4 linked regions of the Lepisosteus oculatus genome follow. The protein of the gene in region 2 purifies or fractionates together with the protein of the main gene of each other region. This does not show direct contact. Links are inferred from orthologs where the notes say so. Each region holds a gene or a part of one and is shown on either strand. Other genes may lie near its edges.

Region 1 (7,664 bases), on a different chromosome or scaffold from region 2:
CACTGACAGGCTCAAACCCACCACCAGACAAGTCCATCTGCATGCGGGAAAACACCTCTTCCAGTTGAGCTACTCGGTAAACAGCCAAGGGCTGTCACATTGGCAAAGATACTAAGGAGATACAACTGACAAAACTTCAGTCTGGCTAGAGTTTAGAAGTAAAAGTGCATCTATTTTTCACATGATCTAAGCCATAGGACAAAACAGACTGTGCTTGATTAATGTCGGGTTTCATCAGCATAGAAATAACAGCTGCTGCCACATCTACGGTGAATCTGACCCAGTGGAGGTTCATTCAAGTGTGACACTAGCAAGTAATGTAACAAGACATATTTTACAAATGTCTGACACATAAACAATTAAGCTTTCTATTCAGTAACTCAATGTTGCACTTAACTCTGATCACAGGACTCTAAATTAAACTCTAAAAAACACTCATAAAACAGCTTTTAGCTCCTAAGGGCATGGTATGACAGTAATATTAAAATGTAAGACATAAATCATAATTTCTTCTTGCATGCTGTCAACAATTTTTATGGAGAACCCAAGTGTCTCACCAAGCGAAGGCACTTGCTCCACTTAATGGCTAATGTCTGTATTGCATGCATCCCAAGTTCAAGCCTGAGTCATGCTGTATCACCAGCAGGAGGTGGGACACATCCGGCAAGGGGCAGGTTGTTCTGGGATCTGTACACTGGCGGCACATTGGTTAGAATTTGTGCCTCGAAGCGCTGGGGCTTTGTGTTCAGTTTCAGACCTGAGGTGCCGTCTGTACAGTTTGTTCTCCCTGTGTTTAATAATAATAATAATAAGAAGAAGAAGAAGAAGAATAATAAACTTTATTTTATATAGCGCCTTTAAAGGTTGCTTCTCAAAGCGCTTTACAGGATGACAATAACAATAAATAAAAAGACTACAACAATAAATAAGAAGATTTCACAAGATAGGACACAATTATAATTACAACAATACAACAATAACAATAGAGGAGGCTGTGGAAGGTGGTATTAAGAGCAGAGGGGTGAAGAATGGAACCAGTTAAGTAAAGGCTTTCCTGAAGAAGAAGGTTTTAAGTCTGGATTTGAAGGAGTTTAGAGAAGGTGACTCTCTGATATCCTTGGGCAAAGAGTTCCAGAGCTTGGGGGCATAGCAGGAGAAGGCCCTGTCACCCATACAATGTAGACGGGCTTGGGGGACAGTAAGGAGGGCAGAATTTGAAGAGCGGAGGTTGCGAGGTGGGGAGTAGGGCGATAAAAGTTCAGACAGGTATTGAGGTGCCAAGCCATGTAAAGCCTTATAGGTGAGCATGAGGATTTTAAAGTCTATGCGGAATTTGACCGGAAGCCAGTGCAAGGACTCCAGGAAAGGAGTAATGTGAACACTTGCACTAGACCTGGTCAGGATTCTGGCTGCTGAATTTTGGACATACTGCAGCTTGTTCAGAGTAGATTTAGATACAGCTCCAGCTCTCCCGCAACTCTGAACTAGAAGAAGCGGTTAGAAAATGGACGGATCTCTCAACTTTCCAGCAAACAGCGGCGACTTAGTCTCCCCACGAGCCTTATTCATTGTAATGCACAGCCCACGAGCCACTGTGTGGAAATAAAATTAGCCGTTTTTAATCAGTTGGGTTAAAAAAAGTAACTGATCCCAAAATAACTGATTCGAAATTATGTCCAGCCCTGACATCCACTGAGTGAAACACCAATTAAAGCATATTTTCCTAGTTATCACATCAAGTATCCCATTCCTCATCTTTCATTCATATTTGCCTACAGACTCAGTACAAACGATACACAATTTTGCATAAACTGCACAAGAGGTGGCGTCGATTGAGTTCTCACTAGCAATTGATATTTACATAATGCAAAACACTTTTATGTCTATGGTTTCTCGTGATATTTCTTCTCAAATGACTATTAATTGACATTTGCAATAAAGAAATACTCAAACTGCACTATGCGGTATTTAAAGTGATTTTCACACTGGCCCTAAGGCCGTTTCTGCTTACTTTTACTTTTTTCTCCTGTTTGATCAACAGTAATGAAAGACAAGTGGGCAGTGGAGCACAATGATATTTGTTCCTAATAATCAGTTTTATTCTGCTGTATAGCAACACCCCGGTAATCACTTGCACCAGTGGCAGAAGTTTAGCCATTAAACACGCAGTTCGTGTAGCTGAATACCCAATTCATCATCACCGGACAACCACATTTCTACGTGGGCACCGATATTTTTAAAATTAGGAAATAACAGTCGCTTCACGTGTGAAGAAAAAAACGTGTTAAACTGTGTTTTTCCTCTTTAAAGAAGTACAAGAAGTAATTAAAAGCGAAACAGTCTTTTCGATGTTTCAGGTTAAATTCAGTTTAGTCATTTTTCAAGAAAAAAACGCGTGACAATGCAGTGTCTGAACAGCAGCTCCTTTATTAACAAAGTGTGAGCTACGCCGTTTTCTTCGTTTTTGCTTGTGTTTACTTCGTGGCATCATAATCTAGCTGAAAAACTGTTTTAAAAAATCCATCAAAACCACAAAACACTGAACAACATCATGCGAAAAGAGAAATGGTCTGTTTTGTCAAACACGATTTCCTGCTCGGCGTGTACTAAACTCAGATCTCTGAAGTGCATGCCGCCGAAGTTTATTCATCTTCGCTGCTATGACAGGTAAGAAAATTAGAACTAGTCAAAAACAAATTTCATTGTAAGTGGTTCTGCTTCGCGGGCTTTCGGAAAATAACGCACGCACACCTGATTGTATCAAGAACAGCAAAGTTCTGCTCAATCACAGGGATTGCCGGGCAAGCGCAGGAATTCATAAAACACACACCAAACAGGGGAGCATATTAAATTTGTTCCCGGAGCATAACATGAATAAACCATTTGCTATGTATATCCTCTCATGCGTAGCTGCTGCTCTCAATAAAATACAAGCTGCGCTTGTGTTCTGCGGAGAAAAGCTCAAATGGTCTCACAGGTGTTCTTGAAGGAATTTAAAAGTCATACAGTTAATTTAACCTTTGAGAGAAAACAAAAATATTGTATCCACGGGCTATAGGAACATCGCTAATATAGACAGACCAACCAGACTCAGACTCAGATGCTCGCAAAAGGAAACGAATATACACAACTTTTTGTGCTATTCTGAAATGATCCTCATGACACAGTATGAAGTGTGGAGGGACTAATCTACGCTAATAAAGGATATGTAGAAAGTGATGTTAAAATTAATATTATATTCGGAATATTTAATGAAAATACATGCATTGCCCTATAAGTATTGGTGAGTTATAGTCTTCTCCCCAAGGAAAAGGGTGTCAATGTTTCAAGTGTTGAGCGTTATTCAATAACCATTTACCTGGAAACCAGGCAAACCATTCCACCGGGTTAAAAATCCAATTTCAACTCACCCCCACAAGACTCTTCTACGATGTTTCCTAGAGTTGACTGTAAAAGAAGACGGTATTTCAAGCAGTAGACCAACGCTTAGTCGTTCTCGATCTTCAATCGCTTTAGTTTGGCGAGAGTTCAGCGCTCGCAGTCCCGCCGGCCCAACGTGAAACTGCACCTGAAAAAAAAAAATCGCTCCTGGTTTGGAATGACTTAATCTCTCGATTTTTCTTGCTCGATCTTCTGTCAGAAACGGTTCAGTCCTGGTAAGGAGAGCGCACCCCAGCGATCCCTACGTGGCAGAAACAAGGCGCAAAGTGAGGGTACCCCCTGGACAGATGTACACACTCGCGTGTCTCTGGCGAGGAAACTCTGGCCAAGTAGGAAAGCCAGCTGCCATATCACCCTGCAACTCCCCACTGGAGCACAGCAGGTGAGGGCCTGGTCAGTACCTGGATGGGAGACCTGGGAAAACTAAGGTTGTTTCTGGAAGAGGTGTTAGTGGGGCCAGCAGGGGGCGCTCACCCTGCAGTCTTTGTGGGTCCTAATACCCAGGATAGTGATGGGGGCACTGTGCTGTAAAAAGGCGTAAAACCGAGGTCCTGACTCTCGGTGGTCATTAAAAATCCCAGGGCGTTTCTCGTCCTGGCTACATGTCCCTCTGGCCTTTAACAGTCATGGCCTCCTAATAATCCCCATCTCTAAACTGGCTCCATCACTCTGCTCTCCTCCCACCGAGACCTGGTGTGTGGGGAGTGTACTGGTGCACTATGGCTCCCATTGCATCATCCAGGTGGGGGCTGCACACTGGTGGGGGTGGAGGAGGAGAGTCCCCGTTACCTATAAATCGCTTTGAGTGGAGTGTCTAAAAAACGCTTTATAATTGTAAGGAAGTATTATCATCGGGGAAGAACATGTAAACTCCACACAGAAGGAGCCCCAGCCCGGACTCAAATCCGAATGCACAGCATCAGTTCTTAACCGTGATTATATAGATCCATTTACGTGTATAATAAATATATACATTTATCATGTGATATTTATAAAACTGGTCTAAACCGGGCACTCGGATTAGATTTCGCCCATCTTGATGCGACCCTGTTTTGTAATAGGCGACAATTGCAAATGTATGGTTCAACACTTTGTCTATGGTCCGCAACAGCGGCGGAGTGGAGACACGTGTAACTGTGTGTTCCGTAGAGGTAACTCTGAATCGGTGATCCATTGGCCTGGGCTTGGGGGGGGGACTGCATCGGCAGATGGATTGATACTGTCTCGCTCGGTGTACTGCAGCGTGTTCCTCTCCGCCGTCTGGAGGTTTAGCATTAGTCTGAGTAACGTAGGGTTGATATTTTTAGAAACATTAGATTTTTTTTTTTACTTTGCCGAACTCGGTGGTTGAAATGGCAAGCGATGGTACCGCGAAGCTGTCCAAGAACCTCTTACGAATGAAGGTAATGTGTTGTAGTGTGGCGTCTCAGGACTCCTAATCGATTTGGTATCGGGCCTTTTTTTCCCCCGTGTGTTAAATGTTGAAAATTGCATGCTCCTTTCCCAAGAGATTCTTGTGTATAAACTGTAAAATCATGCACGAGTTTATAGTAAGATATTAAGGACGTGTGTGTCATGAAAACCTGGATACTTATTAAGAGTACTCCATTAATATCCGACAAAGTGAGTGCTTTTGAAACACGTTGAGAGGGCTATGAACGTAACTTTTAGCCCATGCGTTTGATAAAAGTGCACTCGATTTTCATAATGTAGTAGTTTATAACCAGAAGTACAACAGTCAAGTAGATTTCTTTCATTTGTTTAAGTATCTGCTATTATCAGTAATGTAAATATCCTGTCTGTCTCTGTATTTAATCCGTGTGTGACGGTCCCATTATGAAGCCTGTTATAGATCAGTAGAATGTCCTGCATTCCTCGGGTTTCATTTCCTAATCTGCCTAGAGAATCCACGGAAATGTTAACTACTGCCGCTAAGGAGTTTTTTTTTTTTCCTCTTTTATAAGTTGCTTCTTTTTGGTGACATTTGCAAATGTACATATCGGGGTATGTCAGAAGACCTCGGGTGTTCCTCTGCTGCTGATCCTAGTGGAGAGGCTGAACCCACAGCAGCTTGGCGAGTTTCTCTGCCAGCTACTGTGCGCGACTGCAAAAATGTACTGTAACCAGTTTTCTCAGTTCATCGAATACCCTGATGTGCAAAAGGAACAGAAAAGACCGATAAAAAGATGTAATACTGTTATACGCTGTGAAAGAAACTGTATTATCTTCTGTTTCATAGTAGTATAATGTATCTCTACGCACAGCATGACAATTCTGCCTCCGTGAGAAAGCACGGAGATGAAGGAGCGGTTCTTAGACGCACAGTGAGCTCCTTTTTAACCAAAGGGCTGTGGGAGTGTGCAGCTACACAGCTAAGCTGACGAGGCTGATACCCTGGCTTCTGTCAGGAATGAGCTGGATGAGAGCCTACGATCAATTGAGTACCGAGCTGGACACATGGGGCCTGATGGCCTCCTCTCATCCGTTACTGTTCTTAGTTATACATAGCGTGGAGTACAACATATCAAAAAGGGTGAGCTTATATATTTTAAAGAGATAATGTGAAAGTTTTCAAATGACTTCATTTTGAAGCTTTCTGTAGAAGGAAGATCAAATAACCCACCAGGTTTACAGATAATCGCACTGAAAGCCAGTGGCTTGATTTTTTGTCGTCTCTGTTCAGTCCTTGGAACATTTGTCCTTGAGCAGTCTAAGAACTCTGTGTTCCTGTCTCTCCTGCCTGTTTTCTTTTTTTTTTCCGTTCTGCACTGAATTTGTCATCACGGTGGGGCCCTGTAAATAGGGGGGGGGATAAAGCCCTTTCAAAAATTTTCCCGACACGCCGCTTCTCAAGAATTGTCTCGGGGCCTCGTGCATCATTCGGTCCGCTCGCTGCACCTCATTAACGCGCGAGAGATCTGGCACGGCGCTTCTTTTCGTTTGGGAGAGCCGAGCTGTGCAGGTTGTCCCGGGTTTGAATTACTTTAAGTATTCCTGTGAAATGGTAGAGTGCCCAGTAATTGCCTCCTGCTGTGTATCCCAAGCCTAAGAGAAGCTTGAGATGTTAAGACTGCTGGAGACATGTGAAGAATATTGGGGTTGTCAGGGAAGAGCACGCTTCGCAGATCCTGCCGTTAATCACCAAAGCACATGAAAGACAAAAGTATCAACAGCTCAATATGGTCTGCCAGTTTTCAAGATAGTGGGTTTACAGGTGCAGGTTTCTTTTTTTTCCCCCTCTTTTCTGGTGATCGTGTTTGCTGAGCTCGCAGATCTCCCTGGTATTTTCCCAATGAGTTCTGCTTTTGTGTCCTCTCCTCCCACACTTGGAGGGTTTATCCGACTCATTTCTCAGACATCGGCCGTTTCTGTCCAGAAATCAACATTGTGAAGAGCTTTAGATGCGGCGTGTTTTAAACACGACTCGGGGCTCAAAGCACACGATGCGCAATGTGCTGCTTCAGTAAAGAGATGTGGACAAAAATGTTTTCTTTTTCTGATAAAGAAAAAAATCTTGGCCTTTGCTAGGTTCTTGGCTTTGTGGGAAAACACAATCACACAGGGAGGGAACTCTCTGGCTCACTTTTATTAAATAGTATGTCTGGCCTTAACCCCTGGAGCTCAGCCTCTTGAGTGATGGCAGTTCAGCTGTGCGAACAGGGCAGGATTACAGCTGGTCAATATAGGATCCTGCAGATCTGTGCTGTGCTTTTTCTATAGTCCTCACTACCCCATGCTCACTCGAGCAGCAGGACTTTGTGCAATATGACTACTTAACTGGGAGAAGGAAGTTCATGTTTAGTGCCAACCATTTAATATTCAGTATTTACCGGTTTTTGTGTGTGACATTCCCTGACCACCCTCTTCAGCCTACTCAATGATGAATTGTTCTTTTTATACCACATGTGTGTTCTCTTCGGCCTACAAGTATTCCCAAGCCTCTCATGGGTTGTTGCCAGCAGAACATTCAGCTGAACAGCTGGGTATGAGCTGGTTTCCCAGCCCCTGTCTTGTGACTCTGTGAGCAATGGCAGGCCTGGAGCTGTGGTTTGTTTGACTGAAGCACGATGCTCGTCTTTCCCCAGTTCATGCAACGCGGCCTGGACGCAGAAGTCAAGAAGCAGCTGGAGGAGGAAGAAAAGAGGATAATCAGCGATGAACACTGGTACCTCGATTTGCCAGAGCTCAAGGCCAAGGAGTAAGTCCAGCTTTTCACCCGTCGC
Region 2 (7,005 bases):
GAGACAGATACACCAGGTGACCAGCCAAGAAAGCAGACAGACACAATCAAGACACATGCCAGAGGTCATAGAGATTATTAGGACAGAATAGAATTCCCAGTTCCTCACTCCCCCCACCCTCTTTTTCTGACACTATTCCTTCTGCTTCTACCCCTTCATTTATTGACTCCCTCTCCACCATCCAACCATCTCCCGTTCTCCCCTGTCCCTCACCTCCTCCAGAATTCGGCGAATGCCCTCAGTCGGGGCGTCACGGTAATTCTGGGGGTCATGTGAGAGGAGCTTGAGGACTCGCTCCCGGCCTCCGGGCAAGCGGGCATACACGTCCGTGAAGGTGCCACCCCGATCGATTGCAAAGTCAAACTTCTCCAGCACGGCCGCCATGCTGAGGGAGAAGAGGAAAATCGAGGAGAGACGGCAATGAAGGGACCGATTGTATGTAAAATAAGCAAGACAGCTGAGTATACAGATATTGTTGTGGCCAAGGGAAGAAATGTATAAAGTGGTAAAATATTGAGGTAAAAATAATAATAATAATAATAATAATAATAATAATAATAATAATAATAATAATTGCTTACACTTATATAGCGCTTTTCTGGACACTCCACTCAAAGCGCTTTACAGGTAATGGGGACTCCCCTACACCACCACCAATGTGCAGCATCCACCTGGATGATGCGACGGCAGCTATAATGCGCCAGGATGCTCACCACACATCAGCTATGAGTGGGGAGGAGAGCAGAGTAATGAAGCCAATTCATAAAGGGGATTATTAGGAGGCCATGATTGGTAAGGGCCAATGGGAAATTTGGCCAGGACGCCGGGGTTACACCCCTACCCTTTTCGAGAAACGCCCTGGGATTTTTAATGACCACAGAGAGTCAGGACCTCTGTTTTACATCTCATACAAAGGACGGCGCCTGTTTACAGTATAGTGTCCCCATTACTCTACTGGGGCATTAGGACCCACATGGACTACAGAGTGAGCGCCCCCTGCTGGCCTCACTAACACCTCTTCCAAAGTTTTAAAGTTTCCTTCAATTCAGAAAGGTCCTTCACTGATACTAGACAATACTTTGTTATTGGGTGAAGTATTTTTCACAATATGCCCATAAATACTGGTCAACACAGGCAGACCTGGCTGCCTAGAGAGGACAGGCTGTTTTCCCACTGTCAGCAGGACAGAGACAGAGATGCACTTTCTGCTGTAGTGCACGACATACTCTGGTATCAGATAAAGATACCTCCTTAAAATAACAAGTTTAATTTCCATTCCTGCTAGAATCACAACAGTTTCCAATCCAACTGCGGGAGAGGATTAGAAAACAAATATAGAGCTGGAAGCCCAGTAGAAGATCAACTATCACAGACTCAGAAACGAAGATCGAGCTTCCCAAATAATATTTTTTTGTTGTTGTAGATGACTGAACATGCCTTTGAACTTGTTATTGCTTTGGCAATTTCATAATTGGTTGGTCATGCCAATAAAGCTCATTGAAACTGAATTTGAATAATTGCAATGGACTATACTGCCCAGCCACACAGTATAGAAAGATACCCCGGGATCTTAGACACATCAGCCTGGCCCTGTAATGAGATGACCTACAAGTTTAATTCTGTAGCTTTTTACTCCAGGACAGGACAATATTTATTCATTGTTTGAAAGCAACTGTACATTTTTAAGGGTAAAAATTTAGCAACAGAGTATTCTAGCAATACTGTGGAAAAGAAAAAACAAAATTGATGCCTTCTCTTACACAGGGTTTTGAAAGATATGGTATTTGTATTTGTATTTGAATGCTCAAAAAAGGGACAACAAAGAACTTGGTCCCGCAAGTTTAGTTTTTCATAGTGCCCACAGATGCATACTACTGTTACTGCAATAGCCAAATCCACATGAACAGAGATTAGAAGCCCAGTACTTGCTATGGCAAACTGTTCTCAACAGTTATCAGTTAAAGCTTTGTGAAAAAAGGTTAATGTGTAACATTACACTTATAGGTAACTACAAAAGTGTTTTTTAGAGTTTGCACATAGAGTAGATAACATTCCCTTTCTATGTTAGATGACATGGGCATTAACTCAGCCTCATAGCTCTTGGGTCCTGAGTTCCATTCAGGCCTGATGTGCTTTCTCCATGGAGTGTCCATGGTCCTGTGTCTATTCTGGTTTCCTCACACCTTCCAAGCATATACTGGTAGGGTTACCTAGTGTGCCTGTTTGGTTACCTAGTGAGTGTGTGTCCTGTGATGGACTAAGTGATTTTTTTTAGATTACATGCACTGCAGGAATCAGTCAGTAAGTTCTCAGAATACTGTTTTTTCAGTGGTTTTACTGGTTTTTCTTCCAGCTTGTACTTCTGTCTTGAGCCATGTGCTACTAATAACAGCCCTAGATTGCCACAGCTACTATCAGGAATACATGACTTTCTGCATTAGATTAAATGACATTCCTTTTTAAATGTCTCTGTAAGAAGTTCTGCATTTCTTTCACTGCCGAACTGTTGAACCTGTGTTGTATAGTTCTGGATCCTGTATTACTCTACTATGCATGTACACTCTAATGCATAACATATGCAAATCTCCCAGTCTTTCCCAGCAATGTGCCTTGGAACTCCTGACACTTCTCAGACACTGTCCAGAGGGACCCCAGAAACAAATGTAAAAACTTCACCCCAAAAACCAGTAGCTTCATATAACACCCTCAAATATTCTACAGCAGCTGTCCTACTACATATCACATCAGGTGGACCAGGCTATATTAAAGTGTTAAGATAACACCTCAATTATCTTAACATTTGCTCTTAGATCTTTAACACACACAGATGTTTTGTTTATTTCTCACCACAAGGATAGCATACCTTACAGCAGTGTCCCTGGACACCAATGTGAGGCACTGGTTTGGAAATTCTGGTGCACAGTCCCCCCTGCTGGTCCACAACCATTCACAGCAGCAGCCTGGCTTTCCTTGGAGGTCTCCTATCCCAGTACTGACCATGTCTATGCCTTCTAAGCTCTGCGATTTGACAGTTTTGCCAGTTACCCCTGGTCCAAGATTGGACTGCCATTTTTTTTTTACATTGTGTATCTTTCCCGATATCTCAACCGTGAAGAAAAGTAACATTCTTGACTTGTTGCTTAATTTCAAAGTAAATTCTACTACTTTTTTATTTCTAAACAGTATACAATTAAGTTAAAATTAGTGATAAAGAAAGATACATCGTTAACGTTGACAACATCACTGCCAGTTTCCAGTTTATCAGTTTTCTCTGCTTTGCGCCGTACGCAGATTGTACCCAGTCAAGTCAGACTTACATCGAGACAAGCACTGAACACGAAGTATGAGTCTGGCTCCAACACGGTCTGACGTCTCGCAGTCTCGGTGTGATTTTCTGATGAAATCGAGGTTGTTGAACAGTGGAGTGCAGTGAGATCTCCTTTACCTGCTTTGTTGACACCAAACTGTACCTGTCTGCTTTACGTTGACCTCGGGGACTAACTAAGCTCCTTCTTACACCTCCACAAGCTACCTCTCTCTCTCTCTTGCCACAGAAAAGATCTTATCCAGACTGCTCTGGGAGAATGCATGAGACCTGGCCGGCCAGCCAATCAATTCCCGAGCCCCGTTCCTCCTCTCGGCTTTGTTATTAAAACGCTGTATCTGCGCTTTCAAGCTTGCAAGAAACTTTGGGTTCAAAAGACAACGTTATCATGCATGGTGGGTCACTGACACCCCCAGGATGTGAGGAGTTTCGAACGTCTTTAATATCCCCGAGGGGCAAACTGTTTAACGTATTAACCTGATTTGCTTATTTTACTGTAAACATTTTTCTTTGTCGTTCAAAATGCATTTAAAAAGTATTTGCATCTTCTATATGTTGTGTAATATAAGCGTCACAAGCTAAAAGTAAAAATGTTTAATTTTAATGTTTTTAATTGAGAGACTCAAACAAAAACGTGTTTAATGGGACATCACGAAGGGCAAACATGAAATCCCAAAAATGCGGAACATTACTGACAAGGATTTTATAATGAATATGCAATACACTACGTAAGACAAGGAAGATGACGAACAAGATGACAATATATAGAGCGACGGCAAAACAGAAGGATTGTGGGTATAGTAGTTTTTTTTTTATTTGACGGGCTGTATCACTTTCGCACATGAGTTTTGAAACATGGCCGGGTTAGAGTTGCTGTCCGATCAGGGATACCGGCTGGATGGGAGGAAGCCTTCCGAGCTCCGCAAGGTGCAAGCCCGCATGGGGGTCTTCGCGCAAGGCGATGGGTCTGCCTACATCGAGCAGGGGAACACCAAGGCGCTCGCGGTAGTGTACGGACCGCATGAGGTGAGTCTCCTGGCAGGCAGGGAAAGTAGCCGGGCCCGGGGTGTGTGTAGAGTAGGCAGCCTACTGCCTTTCAATGACTGGCATTAATTTCATAGAGGATGATCGTAACGTTCGAAGCTCCTTTGTGAAAGTGATTTATCATTTTTGATTAATCCGATCGACGTTGCCGTTGATGCACAGAGGAAGTTACATGCAACGTCAGGGGTATGCTCGAGACGATTCAATCTGAAAGCTGTACAGTTAGGTTGACCGTATACAGTTTGTTCACATGGACTATTTCAGTAAGAATAAGACCTGCTCTTTGAACGAGATTACGTTCACTTTTTTAGTTACGTAATGCAACCTTCTTAAATTAACCACAGACGAAGTTATTTTAAATATGAATTCGTTAGTTGCTGTTTCAGTTCTGCATATACTATGCATATGCTATCAGTCTATTTTCTAAACACTTTATGCAATACAGTGTTGCAGAATGGCCTGAACCTATCTCGGCAAGCAACAGGAGCAAGGCAAAGTACACCCTGGAATGGATACCAATCCATCCCAGGATGCACACAACACACACACACAGGACCGATTTTTTCTGGACAGTTGGAGGAAACCCACAAGAGGCTGATTGGAGAACATTCAAACTCCACACAGAGATGAATCCAGGAATTGAACCCAGGGCCCCAGTGCTGCAAGGCAGCAATACAACCACTCTGTTACTGTGCTGCCCATGCATATCCTAATATGATCCAGGTAGCTTTTTAGGTTTTATAAATAAGCCATCTACAAAACCTACCTGTAGTGAATTCTCACTTTCATTGATCAGTGGGTTTAACAGCTGATGGGTGTTGTGAGTTATTAACCACCAGTATGTATCTCTGCAACATTTTCATCTTAATTTGCATATGAATTATTTTTAGTTTCAGGCAATTTTAAAAACTTATAGATGGGCTGAGCAGTGGCTCTGTGGCTAAGGACCTGTGCCTGTTGCTGGACGGTTGCTGGTTCAAATCCTGAAGCCCCCAGAGGAATCCTACTCCATTGGGCCCCTGAGCAAGGCCCTTAACCCAGCTGCTCCAGGGGGGCTGTACAATGGCTCACCCTGCGCTCTGACCCCAAGCTTCTCTCCCTGTCTGTTTGTCTGTGTCTCATGGAGAGCAAGCTGGGGTATGCAAAAAGACGAATTCCTAATGCAAGAAACTGTACAGGGCTAATTAAGTGATGTTTTGTTACACTGTCTGAAAGTATGCTTGGGAATACAGTTATATGGAAACTGTACAGTATAAACATGTATAAGTGATCTCTGTGAGCAGCTGGAACTCTAGGTAATTTATTATCTTGTCGAGGGTAAGGTCATATTATCCAGTAGGCACAGCAGGTACTCTACCTAGGGCACAGGAAAACTAAAAAGCCTGTGAAAAATGTTTTGACCATTTTTCTATATCTATGATAACAACTATAACAAAGATCCCTCCTTGAATATATATATATAGAAATTATAGGCTATCTGAAAAAGCATTGGAGATGATGCTGAGAAACATCTGTGAAACTGAGCTATAGGGCCTGACTGAGGTTAAATACACACAGACAGTGGCACAGCAGTCTGTGCTTCTGCACAAATGGCACCTCAAGTCACCATTGCCTGTGAAGCAATGAACAAGAACCACATCGTGATGGAATTTAAGTTCTTTGATAAATTGCCTTGTTGCTGAGCACTTGAACGTAGAACAGTGAAACAGCTGTGTGGGTACTCACATGGAAGTATGCCACTGTATACGTAGAACATCCAGACCTTCTGCAGACAAGACTGACCAGTCCATTAGGAAAAATATCACAGGGGTTTCACTAGTGGTGGCTGTGTGAAATGATCTGCAATTGAATGTAACATTAGCACTTTGCAAGCAAGGTTTAAAATGCAGTACAAAGACATTAGAGACGTCTGGTTATGCTTTTGGCAGAGGCAGGAAAGGGAGCGGACAGTACAGAGCAATACAGTGCACAGGAGGTAGTGGGAGATCTGCAGATCAGGTATCCTGTAGTGTCGTCTGATCTGCAGAAATGTTAGCCTTCCAGATTCCGAACAGTGAAGAGCTTAGCAGGTGTCCCTGGGTCTCTCATAGCTTGTGCAGTGCCACTGAGGTAATGATACAGTATTAGGCTGACCTCATAAAATATGAATGATTCTTTCGCCTTTTAAACTTCAGAGTTACATTAAAATAAGCCACTGTTTATTTATTTCTGTGTTTTGTGCTGTTCTCTGCTCCAGTGCTTGTTATAGTACTCAAGGTCTGCTGTACGGTGCTCTGGCGATTAGTTATGAAAAGTTATCAGTTATGAATTGCCAGCAGCCATATCACCCCGCAATTCACAACTGGCAACCAACTGAAGCTAAGCAGGTGTCAGCCTGGTCTGTACCTGGATGGGAGACCTCCTGGAAAAAACGGAAGGTCGTTGCTGGAAGAGGTATTAAGGTATTAGAGGGGCCAGTAGGAGGTGCTCACTTTGCGGTGTGTGTGGGTCCTAATGCCCCAGTATAGTGATGGGGACACTACTGTGGGGAAAAAAGGCACTATCCTTCGGATGAGGCATAAAACAAAGGTCCTGACTCTCTGTGGTTGTTAAAAATCCTAGGGTGTTTTTAGAAAAGAATAGGGGTTCCCCAGCAT
Region 3 (7,846 bases), on a different chromosome or scaffold from region 2:
TCCCACTTCCAAGTAGATGCTGGTGAATTTGTTTTGTTTTTATTGAGCCAACCGTTTGACCATAGTTAGTGACTCAGTCTTAAGTCTAAATGCCACTGGTATGGCATACTGTACCTTACACACCTTAAATACTGAAGACTTACATAAACATAGAACCCAGAAGAGACTTGATAAAAGTTGGCAAGGTATTGTTTTCTGTACCTAGTGCACCGACATTTTTTGTAGGTTAATTCATTAAACTAGTTCAGGTGGGCAGCTGCATCAGCATGCGTAGTCTACCAAGGAACAAGTAATACGTTTATTCCATGCTGAAAAGAGAAGAGAGAAAACACATGGTTTCGGCTGTGAAGCCTTCGTCAGGTGCTCACACCTCTTCTCTTTTCAGCATGGAATAAACCTATTACTAATTCATTAAACTATTTAACATTTCTCATCAATGGGGTTGATTGATGTGATCTACAGTGAACGTTAGAGGTTTGTCGTGTGTGTCACCACTGTTGCAAGCAATAAAATAATGTGCGATGCCTGCTTTGCACCAGACTGCAGTTGCTATCTTGTGAGATTCTGGCTCATTCCTCTTGCAGAACCTAGCAAGCATTTGCCTAGTCACTGGTCACTGGGCCCAAGATCCAGATCATCACATGAATATTTAGTGGAGGTCAAGTCTGGCAGGTAAGGCATCCATAAAATTGCTGTCACATTTTCTTCTTGTCTGAAAGCCATTGGTACACAAGAAGCATGAGGACATGTGTTGTTCTGCTGGAATGTTGTCATGTTACAATGTCACATGGAAGGCCAGCGAGACAGGGGTCTCAGGACTGGTTCAATGTAGTGCCATGCACTCCGGTTGCCATCAGTCACTGCAGGTAGAATTCTGTAGGGATATTGTTTAGCTGTACCATCCTGCCAATTTAAAAATTGGTGGCCCTGAATGCCCCAAAACCAATTTTAAAGCATTAACAAATTTGACGAAGCATAACACAGTCACTTTATCAAAATGACACCAAAACATTCAGTCAAAATCCAAAATCTGCATACTTCAATTTTTTTATACATAATGATCATACATAGAATTATTATTTTCTTTTTTTCCCTTGCAACAAGAAGTAAAAGAAAAAGAAGAATAAGAATATAACAAAACTTTGTTAAAGTGGTGCCGAGATTCATCCTTCATAAGAAATGGAAGTAAATGCTCTATCAACAGTTCACAAAGTCTTAACTGTTATGAAGCCAATGACAGGCCTACATTATAGAAAAGCTTTATGATATGGAACTATTGTGATGTACTGTACTGTATATATTTGAGAAACTCTTGTTTGAGGATTGTACTAATTAATTTTAGCACAGTGTGGGTATTTCAGATTTTTCATTTTTTCTGCAATTTGCCAAGTAAACTATTCACCTTTTCAGGAAAATGAGTGGAGTTAGGAAATACCACATACTACCTTAAAAAAATAAATGCTTTAAAATAGTAGTATACCGCATACTACTGTATGGCTGTGTACAGAAGTATAAGAAAATAGTATGTATATATCTGTTATGAGCATCAACAATTTACTAAAAGCCTCCATTAGTCTGTTCTACTATTATAGTAGCTTTGTTATTAATACAGCTTAGTTTGAGAAGAAACTAGAGTTTCTCATTTTGAAATCTGAAATTCATATTGATTAGAATCTCCAAAAATGTGCTTGCTGTCCGTTTGAATTCTTGTAGTAGCACTTACCACTAATATCTCAAATATAAAAGTAATTGTCAAGTTTATCGTATTGTGAAAGCCATTAAGTGCAATGAACAACAACTGAAAATCTTTTATAACATCCTTAAGAAGAATCTTCCTATAATCTTCTTTTAGACAAAAAAATAAATACTTCTGAATATACATATGTGGGATTTTATTTGAAATGTATATTTTATGTGACAGAAATTCTAAAATTCTGGATTGAGATTAGGGTACAAACATTATGATTTTAAGCCTATTTCTATATCACACAGATTTAATAAGAAAATCCTTCCCTAGTTCAAATTTCCCTTCTAGTTTCGATGAAGAAATAATAATGTTTTATCTGTTTAAGAAGGCAACAAAGCAGAGCTTGGTTTCTGATTTTTCTTTCAATGACATTGAACAAAGGAAGAAAGTGAAAAAGGTACATCTGTAAATTTGCTTGCAGCATGCAGCACACCTGTCCACAAAAAGGTGTCTCATCTCCTGTGGATGCTGCTTATAAAAATGTTTATTTGAAAACAGTCAGGTCATTGCTCCACTGACATCGACATGCCCAGCTGTTATGTGAATGGACACTTAGACCTTAGCCTTTCTCAGTGCAAGCAAAAAGAACTATTTTCTCAAAACAATGTCTATATAAGCTGTGTCACATAATGTTGATGTTGCTGGCTCTTCAGCTTCACCAGTTCAGAGAGGGACTGTTCAAAATGTTTAGAAGAAACCAAAGAAGTAAGCATAGGCAAACTATTTAACACCTTTAAGTAATACTCATTTCTGCCTTACTGTATAGATTGAAACTGTAGGTTATTTTAGGAGGAAATGTAATTTTTCACTCATGACAATTTCTTTCCTCCTGCAACTTTTGTGTCTGTAAAACCTACTGTACTTTATGGTATATCAATCTAAGCTGACTGTCCAGCTGGTGCCAACTGTAGTTTAAAACATCGGGTAGGCTGTGCAAGTCATCAAAACCTACCGGTATTGTTTTCCAAAGCTTTGGTAAGTAGAAAATGAGGTCTGTCATTTGTATCAGGGGTGCACTGTAACTAAAACATTTTACTCAATTTGGACTTAGATTAAACCATAATAAACATATTTTGGCAGTTACCTGAAAGGAAGGTCTCCTGCTACATGTTGACTGTTCACTGAAATTAAATAATTTAACTACTGTATGTCATGCAATTTATCAGATGTCTGGAATGTGTGCTAAAATTTTTGTCATGCCATGTTCTTCATATTGACGATCTTCTGTGCTACAAGGGTGTAAAGCTTTGAATGAACAATATTTTAGTTTCACTTTGAGAACCATCCATTACCTGAAAGCTGCTTATCCCGATGAGAGGACAGGAGACTGGAGACTGGAGTCTATCCCAGAAGCTGTTTCACAAGACAACAAAGCAGAGCTTTGAGGGAGGGATCCAGGTAGGATCCAGGTAGGACCAAGAGCACATGAGTTGCCTTCCGCTGGACGGGACCTGAGTCCATTGCAGAATCATGGAGAAAGCGGAAATTTAGCACAGCCAATAATACCTAGGCAGCACTTCTTTAGAAGTTGGGAGCAAACCAGAGCACCTGGAGAGAACTCATTTCAAAATCTGGAGACACAGTCACACCTTAGGCCAGACTAGGGCTATGAGACATCAATGTTACCTGCCATGACAATGTACAAAATATCTCTTTAAAATAACGGGTATGTAATCAGTATAATGGTTTTGAGCCGCTTAAATTATAACTAATGGAATGGAATACTAATGGTAGCTTACTTTACCAGTGTTAACCCATCATACATACTGGGCTCATTTCACACCGAAATGATTTTTACTGGCCTAAGCCAAAGATGGATATTATACCAGTTTACTTACTGTAAGTAATTCAAGTAAAACCAGAACGTGAGAGAAGAGGCTATCACAGAGAAAGAACTGCATTATCAAACTCCTTACAGGGTCTGTGACCCTGGTCCCTGACAGCCACAGTCTCTTTTGGTTTTAACTCACAGCAGAGTTCTTACTGACTTATTTGGATTGAGCCTTCTCTTAACCACTAGAAGTTGTTATTGTTCCAGATCTCCCCTTGTCAGCTACTTCAATTCACTTCTAAACCTTTTGAGACTACGGATGACTAGGACCTGCATCCTGAATGGTTCTCACTTCCATGTTTCCCAAGTTATGTTTGGTCTGTTAGTACTGTATGTAAAACAGCTTAGTCTCCGGTGTTTTGAAGTGCTTTTTAATATTTTTCATTACACCTTTGAAACAATAAAAATTACAGTCTAACTTTCCAAAGATTGTCGAAGAGAACCAAACTGGATTTAGCTGTTTGAAAGAAATTTAGCTGTGCTGAATATAGTCACAAACTCTGGATTGTGTGTTTATGCTCCCTTTCAAACAAAGGGTTAAGAAGAGCTGAGTCAGACAATACAAAACACACTCAACCTGTGCCCGAGTAACCTGCAGGAAACCCCAAATATGCGTCTCTTCTACATTTTCAAAAGGATGTTTTTCCCTACGACAAGTGATTGATCAGCTTGTGCAGCTTGCTGTTGTCATAACCTTGTAAAAATGTTAACAGCAGGTGAAACAGTTATTAACCTTCATGAACTGTTCAGGCCATAACAACGCGTTTAGCACATTTTAAAAGGGCAGATTGTACCTGCATCGTTGTCCTCTTTTGTTATGACTTAAAAGTCTCAGCCACAGATTGTTTGGTTTCATAAATTACACAACATGACACCCCCTTGCCTCCTCCCCCACTAACATATGTCATGAGAAAGTAAAAGTAAGAACAAAATAGAAAGAGCCCTATTGCATCTTTGGAAAATTAACAAGTTTCTTAAAATGCTAACATGCTTGTCTTTTCCAGTTTAAGTATTTTCTTTTTCTTTTTGGAGTACAGTGGATCAATAGTTTGGAATATTTCAGTTTATGATCGCAGCAGTATTGAATTCAGAATTCCACTTTCATTGTGTTACAGACCCAAATATTTACTAAAGATTGACTGTAACATGTCAATTTAGGTGAGCAGGTGTAGGACTATTGCTTGAAATAACTAACTTAATTTCACTTCGGCGCGTCTCAATGGTTAACTCGGCACAGGCAGAAAAACGGAGCTGGAGCAGAGAGCTGCAGTGCGCTTGCTTGGAGAATGCGCAGTGAGACGTCGGTGGAAACAAACATGGCGGCTGGAAAATGAAACGAAGCAGCTACGGTTACATTGCTGATTTATCACCAACAGTGCGGTTTTATCTTTAACCACCTATAAAGGGGCGAAGGGAAAGAATCCAAAATGTCTCGACACAGAAATGTCCGGGGCTATAACTACGACGAAGGTAGACGCTCTTCCAAGTTGACTGTAAGATTGTGATATTCCCTTGTCAGGAAAATGGAAGTGCTGTCGTGTCCCTTCCACAGGCTGGGCACAGGCCAACGCTTTAGTCAGAAAGTTTTATAACATACGAGCTAGCGGATACATAAAAATAGCTGTAGTTATTCTATAAAAGCGCTTTTGTGTACGAATTTGCGAATGGAATGAAACTGAATCTTTCCTTTAAAAAGCAAAACAAGATGTACTTCATGTGGTTTTACATTTCCCCCATTCATCCTGGCCTCCTCCTCGTTTCAAATTAGCAGTACTGATAGTTTAGGACACCCCTGTACGTTAGTCATTATTGAACATTATAGAACTTCTGTAGCTTTATGTAAATAGTTTTGGTGTTTAGGTGCTTTTAGTAGTTAACACAATTTGTGTCATAAGACTTAACTGTTCATTGCAAATACCTACCAGTGTGCAACGACAGATAATACATAGTGTACCATGCTTAGATATTTTCACAGCTACAGTTTTGTATACACAGATTTTGAAGATGATGATCTATATGGGCAGTCCGTGGACGATGACTACTGCATTTCCCCTGCTACAGGTTTGTGGGATGCGTTTCTTATGTGTCTGAACTTGAATTCTAAAGTTTTCTGAATCAAGATTTTGCCGATTTGATTAGATGGTTTTCTAGTGGTCTAAGCACTGTATTTGTTGAACATGGACCTCATTGAAGATGTGGACGTTTATGCAACTTGGTTATTTTCAATTTGAAAGCTAATCAAAGGATTCGATATAAAACCTAAATTAAGTGGATGAAAAATCTGCATATTTTGTTTTGTAATGTTTTGAACATTGGCTTTTATCTTGTGTAGTATGAACTACACATGATGGATGCGCATGGATAAGTGTGAAACTATTTCTGATTAGTATAGTTTTAACATAATCACACTGTTTGTGGTAAGACTTGGTGATGTTTCACACATTTAGGGTTTTTATTACTTTTCTTTTTTTAATTCTTTCTTGGCAGTAAATATGGATTGTTAAAAGTTGGATATTCTGCATTTTTATGATTCTACACATGATATTGTATTAAAACATGCAATTGTCTTCTTTGCATACTTATTTAACTTTAACAAGAAACTACAGTTTTGAATAAAGTCATATTTTGGTGTGGCAGGTTTATCAGTATTAAACTAAAGACAAATGAACAGAAGCATTCTGGGATGATGTGTCATCTGAGCTAGTAGATGAGTATGCAATGTCTATATCTTTTATTGGTCAAAGCCATTTGTAATATCTTGCATCTCTCTAGTTACTCAACCAATTTATTAAAATTCGTGTTTGCCTGGTAGGATTATCCATTCACAATGGAATAATGTGGCAGTGGGTTTGCAAGTGGTCTGGTATTTGACCTCTTTTGGCATCAGTTGTAGCTGAACACAATTAAAAAACAGTTTACTAAAACGTGTGACGTCTGTGTTAAAGCTATCTGTCCACAGTAAGTTTTTACTTTCAGATGCTTAGTGTTATTTGTAAATAAACGTTTTGGATCTTTCAGCCAGGTTTTAAATCATTTTTGGACAACTAGTGTGATTTGTCCAGAGTATCCTTGAGAGTAAATACATTCAACAAAGTAAATCAATTTAGTGAATTTTGGGAGAAATGAAGAGGCAATTTATGGAAAAGGGACAGATGATTTGCATGTGTAAGGATGCTAAGTAACCTATTGAATTGTGGCGACTCATGTATGTTGATGTTCACTGTCTTAATGTTTTGAATTTTTTTGTTGCCAGTATAGTTACAAAACGATCCCCTACCATGGAATGAGGCAGCTTGACTTCTTGTGTCACAGTTTTCTGCAGATGAAATGATGGCGCATGCGTAAGGCGGGAAATTCTGGATGATAGATTTTGTGCGTCTCCCCCCTTAATATCCCAGTGTGCTTGTTTTGCAGCTGCCCAGTTCATCTACTCCCGACATGAGAAGCAGGCAGCCTATGCAGAGCCCCTGGAGGAGGAGTATGGGGCCGAAGAGGAAATGCCTGTCTCTCCCAGTCCGAACCATCACAAACTTGACACTCTTTCTCAAGGTATAACACAAAGCTCAAGTGATTTTAACAGATGTGACATTAATTTGATGACGCTATCAGTTTGCAAGTCATATAACATTTTCTTGATGTTAATGAAAGGCGATCAGCACAGTTCCCTCACACACTTCTTGTTTCCAGGGCAGCTGTACTCCTGTCTAGATCAGATGCGAACAGTGCTTGGCGATTCCATCCCTGATCCTGTGTTGGTAGAAGCTGCACTCAGCTGCCAGTTTGACCCACAGAAGGCTCTGGACTTAGTGCTTTCTGGGGAAAGCAAGAACACACCAGCAAGAAATCAGCAAGACAATGTGTCTGCTGTGAAAACTGACAGAGGTATGTTTGTATTGTCTTAATTCGTTCTGTTGTTTATTCAGCAAGCAAAATACATTTCTTTGCGCGTGCGTCACACCTTAGATTTTCTCATGACTTCGAAACCCTCAGTCGTGCAGTTGGTGTGTGCAATTCTGAATAAGCGGACAGCAAAAAGTTTTTTCTACTATCTGAGGCTTTCACTAAATTGCATTTCAGAACACTGTTGCTTCAGTGTTTCCAACAAAGTCAGGAATAACTAAATATTTACACAGAGGTATTGTAGTTAAAACCCTGTTTAAATATTGATAGTAATTAGGAACTGTTTATTCACTGAATAATATTCCCTCATTATTACCTGTAATGACTTGAGAATTAATTTGAGAACATGAGAAGTTCATTTTCTCAAA
Region 4 (7,565 bases), on a different chromosome or scaffold from region 2:
TATAAGTTGTGTGGCAGATTCCAAGCAATACAATATAAAGGTTACAAATAAGAGCATTACAATCAACTCCTCTTAGACTTAACTGGTTAGTTTTAGGCAAATGCCTTAAAGCAATACAAGACACGATAAAGTCCACTCCACGGTACACTTGTTTTATTTTACAATGGTATATATATCCAATAACCACTGGCTCTCTCACATGTCATCTAGATGCTGCTGTGTTCTCTGCTGGTGGATAAAATCTGCCAGTGCTGGAGGCACATCCAGATCTTCAGGCCTCTCCTTGCGGATTTTTTGGTCTGTAAAATCTTAAAAAGACAAACGAGTAAAAAGAATCAGACCTACAATGTCAAAGACTGATCATCATACCTGCATTGCCTCATACAAATTCCTTTTCCAGATGACATTTGCAAGGTCAAAGACGCTTGGGACCAACTTACACGTTGGAAGGGATTTCAGCGCGTTGGGTTTGACGAAGATCTTGGGGACGAAGGGTGTGTTAGAATTGTCGACCTTCTCCCGAAACTTCAGCTGAGGACGCTGAATGTTTTTTGCGTGCAGAAGGCGAAATGTCTCAGACTTGGCCGCCTTGCTGGAATCCCTGCTCTAGGAATCAAGAGACAAGGGACTTTTGCTGGATGCTATTAAACAGAGCAAGTTATGAAAAAACAAAGGTAAGCACGAGACATCCACTTTTCTAAAGCCAGACAGACTGTGAATTGGGAATTCCGAACCCTACAATGGCTTTCCAAAACGGAGATGGAAGGGGTCTACTGTGGGAAGCCAGGAGTATGGAATTTACAGATTGATAGAAGTTCCGATTTATCCAACACCTGAAGCCTGTGAATTGGCTTCGTGAGTTCATGGTTAGCCATGAGCGGTCTTACCTTGCGGTTCCAGCTAGATACGATGGTCTTTGGAGGCTGAATACCAGCTGGTAAGATGGGCTGCTGGTTCCTGTTCACTCCTGAAGCCTCATCCAGTAGTATTCCCTGCAAAAACAACAACAGATATAATTTAAAGCCAATCATGACAAGTTAGATATATCAAGGGTTTGAGAAGAATATGCATTAAAAGAATTATACATCAACTCAGAATCAGCTTTAAGCAGGGCTCCTCAAGATTTGCAATACAAGTTATAGTTTAGTAACCAAAATGCTGGTTTAACAAACCTGGTTGGTGAAGGGTGCCAATTTGTTTTTGTGTGCTTTATACTGCTCTTGAACGGCTTTTTTACCAATTCAGCCTTTATTGTCTCATTTTACAGCACACTCCCAACAAAACACAATGACGGACAAAATCTTAGCAACCAAAAAGTCAGTGCAACAGTGTTACAGCTTTTAAAACTATCTCTGCCCTTCGAGCTGCTTTGATTAATCTGATAGTTGCTTTTTATCCAAAACGATTACTGTTTTTGTAAACGGTTCTCAGTTTTAAAGTTTGGACTCTCGTTCAAAGGAGTGAGACCCATGACCTTTTGGGCAGACCAGAGCCCTAAGCCTTCTACCATTCTGGACCTGGTTTTACATTGAAAAGGCTGTCCAGGAAAAAGATTATACTGTACCACTCTCTCCAGTATGACATCATTGGAGTCAACCAGCAAGTCGAATCTCTCCTCCAGGCCAGTCACTTTGTTGCGATCTCTCATGTGAGATTTGCAGCCATGGTACTGCATCAGTTGACTCATACTGCAAATACATCCATTACATCGTCACAAGCAATCTTAAAGACACTAGAAACACTTCAGAGATTTACAATGTCTCTGTATATTTTCATGTATGAATTCATGTACACAATTATATGCATGCATGCATAAGCTGATAATGCAAATAAAACTAATAACACAGAGAGAGCTTCAGACAAACTAGTAAAAATCTGACTGATCTAAACAGCACTTCACTACTACCAGATCAGCTACTGACGTAGCTAGAAAGAACTCCTAGGACTGTACACGCATGAAGTCGCTTTTACACAGGATCTAAACGATACAGTTATTAATTTCACCAGCATCCATTCAATGCTTTTTATGTTACATACTGAATCACATTTACTATAACTGCCTACCATTGCAAAAGTCTTTCTCCCTGCGTTTCGCAGAACTCCTGGAATCCGGGAAAGCTCCGGTAGAAGTCGAATTCGTCCCCAGCCTGCGGCAGATTTGCAGAAGCTTTCGTGGCCGCTACTACAGTTCCCAAGCCGTGCTGTAAAACAGATTCAAAGAGCCACTTGTCAAGAGCAGCCAGTCAAAAACCAATTGAAACTAAACAACCGAAACACGATACAGATGCGTATGCTCGTACAATTTAAGGTTTATACTCCACAACGGCAGTGCTTCTTATCGAGCATATCACACTGTGGATTTTGCACACTTTTTTAATGGTACTTCTTAAAACGTCGGGAAAGGTAAAACCAGACATTTCCACGTTAACAGCAAAGCTCGTTGCATTTTTAGGGGGAACGCACGGAGATAAAAATCTGCACCTTGTGGTATAATACTTAAAAAACGGTAGCCATCACTCATAGAGCCTTATAAAGCGTGACTACTCTGCACCTTAATCACACCGTCTTTTTTTATTAATTACACCGTTTACAGCTGAGCTGGTAAACACGCCACTCGTGAACCCTTATTCACCCACAGGCCTTTATACGAGAATGACCGGGGGTATTCACCAATAATTCGTCCACAAACCTTCACAAATGAATCGGCATCCTTAAAGCCGGGCAAAAGTTCTGGTTTTTCGCCCTCTGCCTCTTCGTTTGTCGGAGAAATATTATTTCCCTTGCCTCTGCCACTCCTGCTCGTGGACGCTGCCATCTTGAAAATGTTAAAGTCACGCGAGACGTGGACTCCTCTTAGGGGAGGGGGAGGAACCGGGCGGCATGGCCGAAGAAAATAATAAATAATAAGACCAACAGTACCTAATCAAAGTATGATAACAATAATAATCCCTTGTATTTATATAAAACTTTCATTTCAAAGTGCTCCTCCGCCGCCACCACTCTAGAGCAGCACTCTTTTTGAGTAAAACGAGACAACGATTCGACACCAGCAGATTCGATACACAACAGACATCGCTATGAGGTTCAGAAATAGGTTTACCACATAAAGCCTACAATGCAACTTTATCAGGACAGTGGGGGTAATGTCCCTTCTCATTTATTTCGTGTTAGGTGATTTATTTAAATTACATATTGGATAAAGCTGCTTTTGCTTTCAAATCTACATTTGGCCAACCAATGCAAAAGTACAAGATTGAAGAAAAGTCAACCCAATAGTATTCATATGAAACGCATTTACTTTTTAAAGTTACAATTCAGTAATACATTTTTTTAACAAAGGAACACACAGAGTATGCAAATGTCTTTTTTTATCTACTATTTATTGCCAAAGAAAACTTACAGTACATTACAGCAGACTGATATTAATTCAAAAGTTTATGGTGAGTAAATTAAATTAAATTTAGTTTATATTTAACTCATTTTAACAGTACGCAAGTGGCATTTCACAACATTCCAAGTCCACAGCAGTAACCTCATTTGAGTTCAGTTTAGGTTTAAATTGCGTTCAGGGCTTTCAAAATGTGCCATTAACACTGCTATACGTCTCCATGTCTGGAACTGCGGAGTCTGTTTTGTGGTGATCGGCATGGCGCCAAGTGTTAGTGAACGGTGTAGAGAGAAAAAGATGTAGGAGCTCTGCTACCAAAATGGACACCTGTAGGAGGAGAAAAGGAAAAACAAGTCAGATGCCTCAGATTGCAGATTTCCTTTTGTTCAAGGGGAGATTTGATGTGTCAGCTTGCTTTTTCTGCAGAAATACAAATTCTTTCAGTACAAAAAAATCCCAATAAAACAAAACCTAACTCCTCGTCGGAATCCCAGTCTTAACCTTTTGTAGGCTTCACCTCTGTCTACAGAAGGGCAGAACTCCTAATCCCCAGACACAGTATTACACAACAATCCTTTAGTTTGCTTTGGTATATTTGGTATATTTACCACCCTGGCCGAACCCTTCTTGCCTACATCATCTATCGTTCTCCTACAGTGACAAGCTGTTGTCTGGACATATCTGAAGAACCACACCCCAATCTGTCAACTGGGGATTCATGTAGGCACCAATAGTGCTCACCATCCAATATAGCATTGGCACAGATTCTCGTGGGAGGTCGCTTGCTTGATTAGGAGCTCCACTTGAGTTGGGACGTCCAGAGTCTCATCGTGGGAGAAATCCCGACCTGAGAGGGGACAAGCAGGGAAGCATCAGAAGCCATCCTTCAGGACTCCAGGAACAGCGAGTAATTCATTTTAATCTATGTGTCATATCAAAGTGGGGATGAGGGCTAAGTACTTATTTAAAACCTTTAATATCAATTTCAATGCAACATCATTTTTTTTGTTTTTCAATGTGTGTCCACTTTATCATTAATTTTGGTCAAAGTTGTTGCTGCGAAACAGCTGTTCTAGAGTGCAAGAACAAAGCTGTACAGATGTAGACCATGGATGTCCCTCACATGAATAAACAGCTTCCAGGCTTTTATTCATGTGAGGTGGTGTCACCCTTCAGACTACATGACTGAACAAATATTTCCTAAAAATGAAAAAATCTCTGTGGATTTTCTGGGCTGTGCTTTTCTCATGTAATATTTTAAAGATAAGTTGTTTTATTCCCAGATGGGGAGTTCCTGTTTAAGAGATACACTCATATAGTACTTCACCCACATTGTTGGAAAACAAGTTTGTTCACCAATGTCTAAGCCTGATTGTTCCAAGCTTTGATGGCATTTTGACTGTGCTGTACTCACCGGTCAATTTGTCTCTGACTCTGTTGATGATTTGAATAGCTTTTTTGTTCAGGGCTTCAGGCTGCACTAGGCCATCTCCAACTGAAAGGGAGAAAACATTTTAGATTCAGTTCTCAAAAACATGTGTCCCCATTATCTTGCTGAATGTTTTGGAAAATGCATTGAAATGTTTGACAAAAGGAAGTTGGTTCAGCCAAATAAAGTAGGACATTTTCTGCATTCTATTAAGTTAAAGAATGCCAGTATTGTGTTCCTTCTCCTACCTTCTGTCACGCTGTTGACAAAAGGTCTTTCTTCATGTGCTATCAATGAACAATTCAATTTGTGGTGTTAGAAATGGAAATGTTTTTTTAAGACAGAAGACAGGCAAAGGCAAACTGAAACGTTCACTGTTGTTTTGGTTTTCTGATCCACGCATCTGTGGTAAGAATTGAAAAAGAGAAGCTTGTCTCTTCTTGGGAACAATCTTTTCTCAAGCTCTATGGTCTATGACCAGATAGCAGACACGCCGGTATTCCTGCGAGTCTGAACTCACTGAAGGAGTGAATGGATTCAGGCACTGTGGTTCCTGGCTTCTTGTGTGTCGTTTCACCAAGCTCAATTCCCTCCAGGGCTTCTGAAAATGAAAGAAAGCATAGAATATTTTTTTTTTCGGTATGAAGACGTTATTCTGACCGTTTCTGCACCCTACACCCCATTTGGATTCTCCCACTCTGGAATGCAGATCCTTCTTAGGGAAAGCTAGAAATAAGAGTTCAATCAACTGACCACCATGGCTCGTTTGACATGAAGTTTCTTCTTGTTCCAAAGATCTCATCCAACTGTTACTTGAAAGAAGTCAGGCTCCATAACCTGGCTGGGTAGCTTGCTTTACTCTTTGAGTAAAAACATTCCTCCTTGTTCTTAGTTTTTAAATGGTTTGATTGGGTCAGTGCCTTTGAAAACCTTGAACATTTCTATCAGATCCCCCCACGGTCTTTTCTGTTGCACATGAAAGAGATTCAGTTCCTTCAGACTGCCAGTGGAGGACAGTTCAGTCCCTCAAGTCCCAGAAGGTCTCTGGTTGCTCTTCTCTGGACAGATTCCAAAGCAACAATATCTATTCTATAACAATATTCTCAATGATACATTTTTACAGTTTTAACATAATATCCTTTGATTTAAATTTGACACTTTTAATTACATAGATTTGATCACCTAATGATTCATCGCCATAAACACCCATATCCAAGGAGCCCATGATATGGCCTTAAAAAAAGTTTGCTTTCCTTCAGTAGGCTTGCTACAGAGCAGAGGCACAAGCAAACCAATTTAATATTCTCCCTCTAGTCCTCAGAAGGCTGAGAGTGAGTGCAGAGCCATGTACTGATTGCCCACCATATTCACCAGGTAACATCCCAATTGAACACGTCCTGAGACCAACCTCTCTGCTACAGTGCCACCCCTCCCAGCCCTCGTGCTCACCTACGGACTGCCCCGCGGTGTAGGAGTCGGTCCTCGTCCTGGATCGCTTATTCCCTTTTGTGTTCGCTGTGGACAGAACCGAAGAGCTGTGAGCGAGTTCAAGGTGGTACTGGTGCAAGAGGTCATGCACAGGCTACTACCAGAAATGAGAAGTTCTCACACAGTTAAATTTAAGATGCAACTATGGCTAAAAGCATGTGTACTTTATGATAGGCAACACATAAAAGACACACAGAAGACTACAATTTCCTGAACGCTCCCATGATAAAGATTTAAAGAGGATGTTTTCTGTGGGTAGTCAGGCTGGCGGACCGGTTGGCCCCGGGGCCTGAGCTGCGGGTCCCTTACTGTCCATGAGCCTCCAGTTGAGCAGGGGGTCGTAGACGAAGGCCTCCAGCACGGCCATGACGCTGTCCCTGTGCTCCCGCAGCACCTCCATCACCGTGTGACACGTGATCCTGTAGTTCCCATCCAGGCCCGTCACCTGGACGGCAAACACGGAGCGGAACACCCTGAGACCCCAGAGCACGGGCTGGCCCGCATCCCTGGACTCACCAGTCCTGCTTCTAACAGCACCCTGGTTTTCTTATTGACCTCTCTGCATGGTGCCATCAACATCAGTGCACGCACAACACAGTTGTTACTGTGTAACATTCATTTATTTTGCACTATAAAGATTTTTTTAACCATTTCCCCCCCCCTAAATACACCCGCTCACCTCCATAGCATTAGTAAGCATCCTGGTCAGCCTGAAAGGAATTTTCTCCGGGAATTTCTCTCTGGTCATGGCGACCTGTCAACCACAGCAACACGTTAGCGTTAATATCTCCTTCACTCTGTTCCTTGCAGGAAAGAGCTCTTCTCTTCCCCAGCAGACACAACGCCTACACTGCCAACAGTGGGTCCTTCCCATATCATCTCTCCACCTCTTCCTATCACTTTGCGCTCTGCGGAGTAACGAAAATCATTCACAAACCCACCTCAAAACAGTCGCCAAAGTCGATGTGGAGGATCTTCCCACTCAGTCTGTCCAGCATCAGGTTGGAGGGATGCCTGGGGATTATGTTTAAGGGGATAGTAATGGCATCATGTCTTTGCTTTAATATGCCATTGCAACAGGAGTAACTCTAGCCTTGTATCTGTGCTGGTTCCACTGGGCGAAGTTCAGGCACGCGCTCGACTGAATGCAAAGCCATACTATGACTAACGAACCCAGCAGTAAGTCCAGGGCTGCATGCAGAAGTCATAAAACACGTACAGGCCGGACAAAAGAATAATGCAAAAAATTGACCATTTAAT

What was found.
Region 1: the proteins of exosc4 (region 2) and mphosph6 purify together in Homo sapiens (affinity purification with mass spectrometry; 7 studies listed by BioGRID and IntAct, with this or other methods). This does not show direct contact. The link is inferred for Lepisosteus oculatus from reciprocal best matches to the Homo sapiens genes EXOSC4 and MPHOSPH6.
Region 3: the proteins of exosc4 (region 2) and hbs1l purify together in Homo sapiens (affinity purification with mass spectrometry; 3 studies listed by BioGRID and IntAct, with this or other methods). This does not show direct contact. The link is inferred for Lepisosteus oculatus from reciprocal best matches to the Homo sapiens genes EXOSC4 and HBS1L.
Region 4: the proteins of exosc4 (region 2) and exosc10 purify together in Homo sapiens (affinity purification with mass spectrometry; 9 studies listed by BioGRID and IntAct, with this or other methods). This does not show direct contact. The link is inferred for Lepisosteus oculatus from reciprocal best matches to the Homo sapiens genes EXOSC4 and EXOSC10.

Annotation. Positions count from the first base shown.
Region 1 is NC_090715.1:14,997,548-15,005,211, forward strand, and holds the start of mphosph6 (M-phase phosphoprotein 6), read left to right. Parts: upstream 1-4,645; 5' UTR 4,646-4,793; coding exon 4,794-4,844; intron 4,845-7,526; coding exon 7,527-7,639; intron 7,640-7,664. UniProt on the Homo sapiens protein: RNA-binding protein that associates with the RNA exosome complex. Involved in the 3'-processing of the 7S pre-RNA to the mature 5.8S rRNA and play a role in recruiting the RNA exosome complex to pre-rRNA; this function may include C1D.
Region 2 is NC_090701.1:28,951,306-28,958,310, forward strand, and holds the start of exosc4 (exosome complex component RRP41), read left to right. Parts: upstream 1-3,996; 5' UTR 3,997-4,180; coding exon 4,181-4,351; intron 4,352-7,005. Other genes in the region: oplah (5-oxoprolinase), read right to left, coding at 214-384. UniProt on the Homo sapiens protein: Non-catalytic component of the RNA exosome complex which has 3'->5' exoribonuclease activity and participates in a multitude of cellular RNA processing and degradation events.
Region 3 is NC_090697.1:50,019,639-50,027,484, reverse strand, and holds the start of hbs1l (HBS1-like protein), read left to right. Parts: upstream 1-4,837; 5' UTR 4,838-5,005; coding exon 5,006-5,048; intron 5,049-5,573; coding exon 5,574-5,639; intron 5,640-6,992; coding exon 6,993-7,127; intron 7,128-7,265; coding exon 7,266-7,460; intron 7,461-7,846. UniProt on the Homo sapiens protein: GTPase component of the Pelota-HBS1L complex, a complex that recognizes stalled ribosomes and triggers the No-Go Decay (NGD) pathway.
Region 4 is NC_090720.1:2,766,149-2,773,713, forward strand, and holds the start of exosc10 (exosome complex component 10), read right to left. Parts: upstream 3,013-7,565; 5' UTR 2,816-3,012; coding exon 2,690-2,815; intron 2,202-2,689; coding exon 2,065-2,201; intron 1,689-2,064; coding exon 1,565-1,688; intron 993-1,564; coding exon 888-992; intron 607-887; coding exon 441-606; intron 309-440; coding exon 200-308; intron 1-199. Other genes in the region: serine/threonine-protein kinase mTOR, read right to left, coding at 3,700-3,715, 4,130-4,235, 4,803-4,883, 5,338-5,418, 6,267-6,332, 6,615-6,750, 6,985-7,059, 7,247-7,319. UniProt on the Homo sapiens protein: Catalytic component of the RNA exosome complex which has 3'->5' exoribonuclease activity and participates in a multitude of cellular RNA processing and degradation events.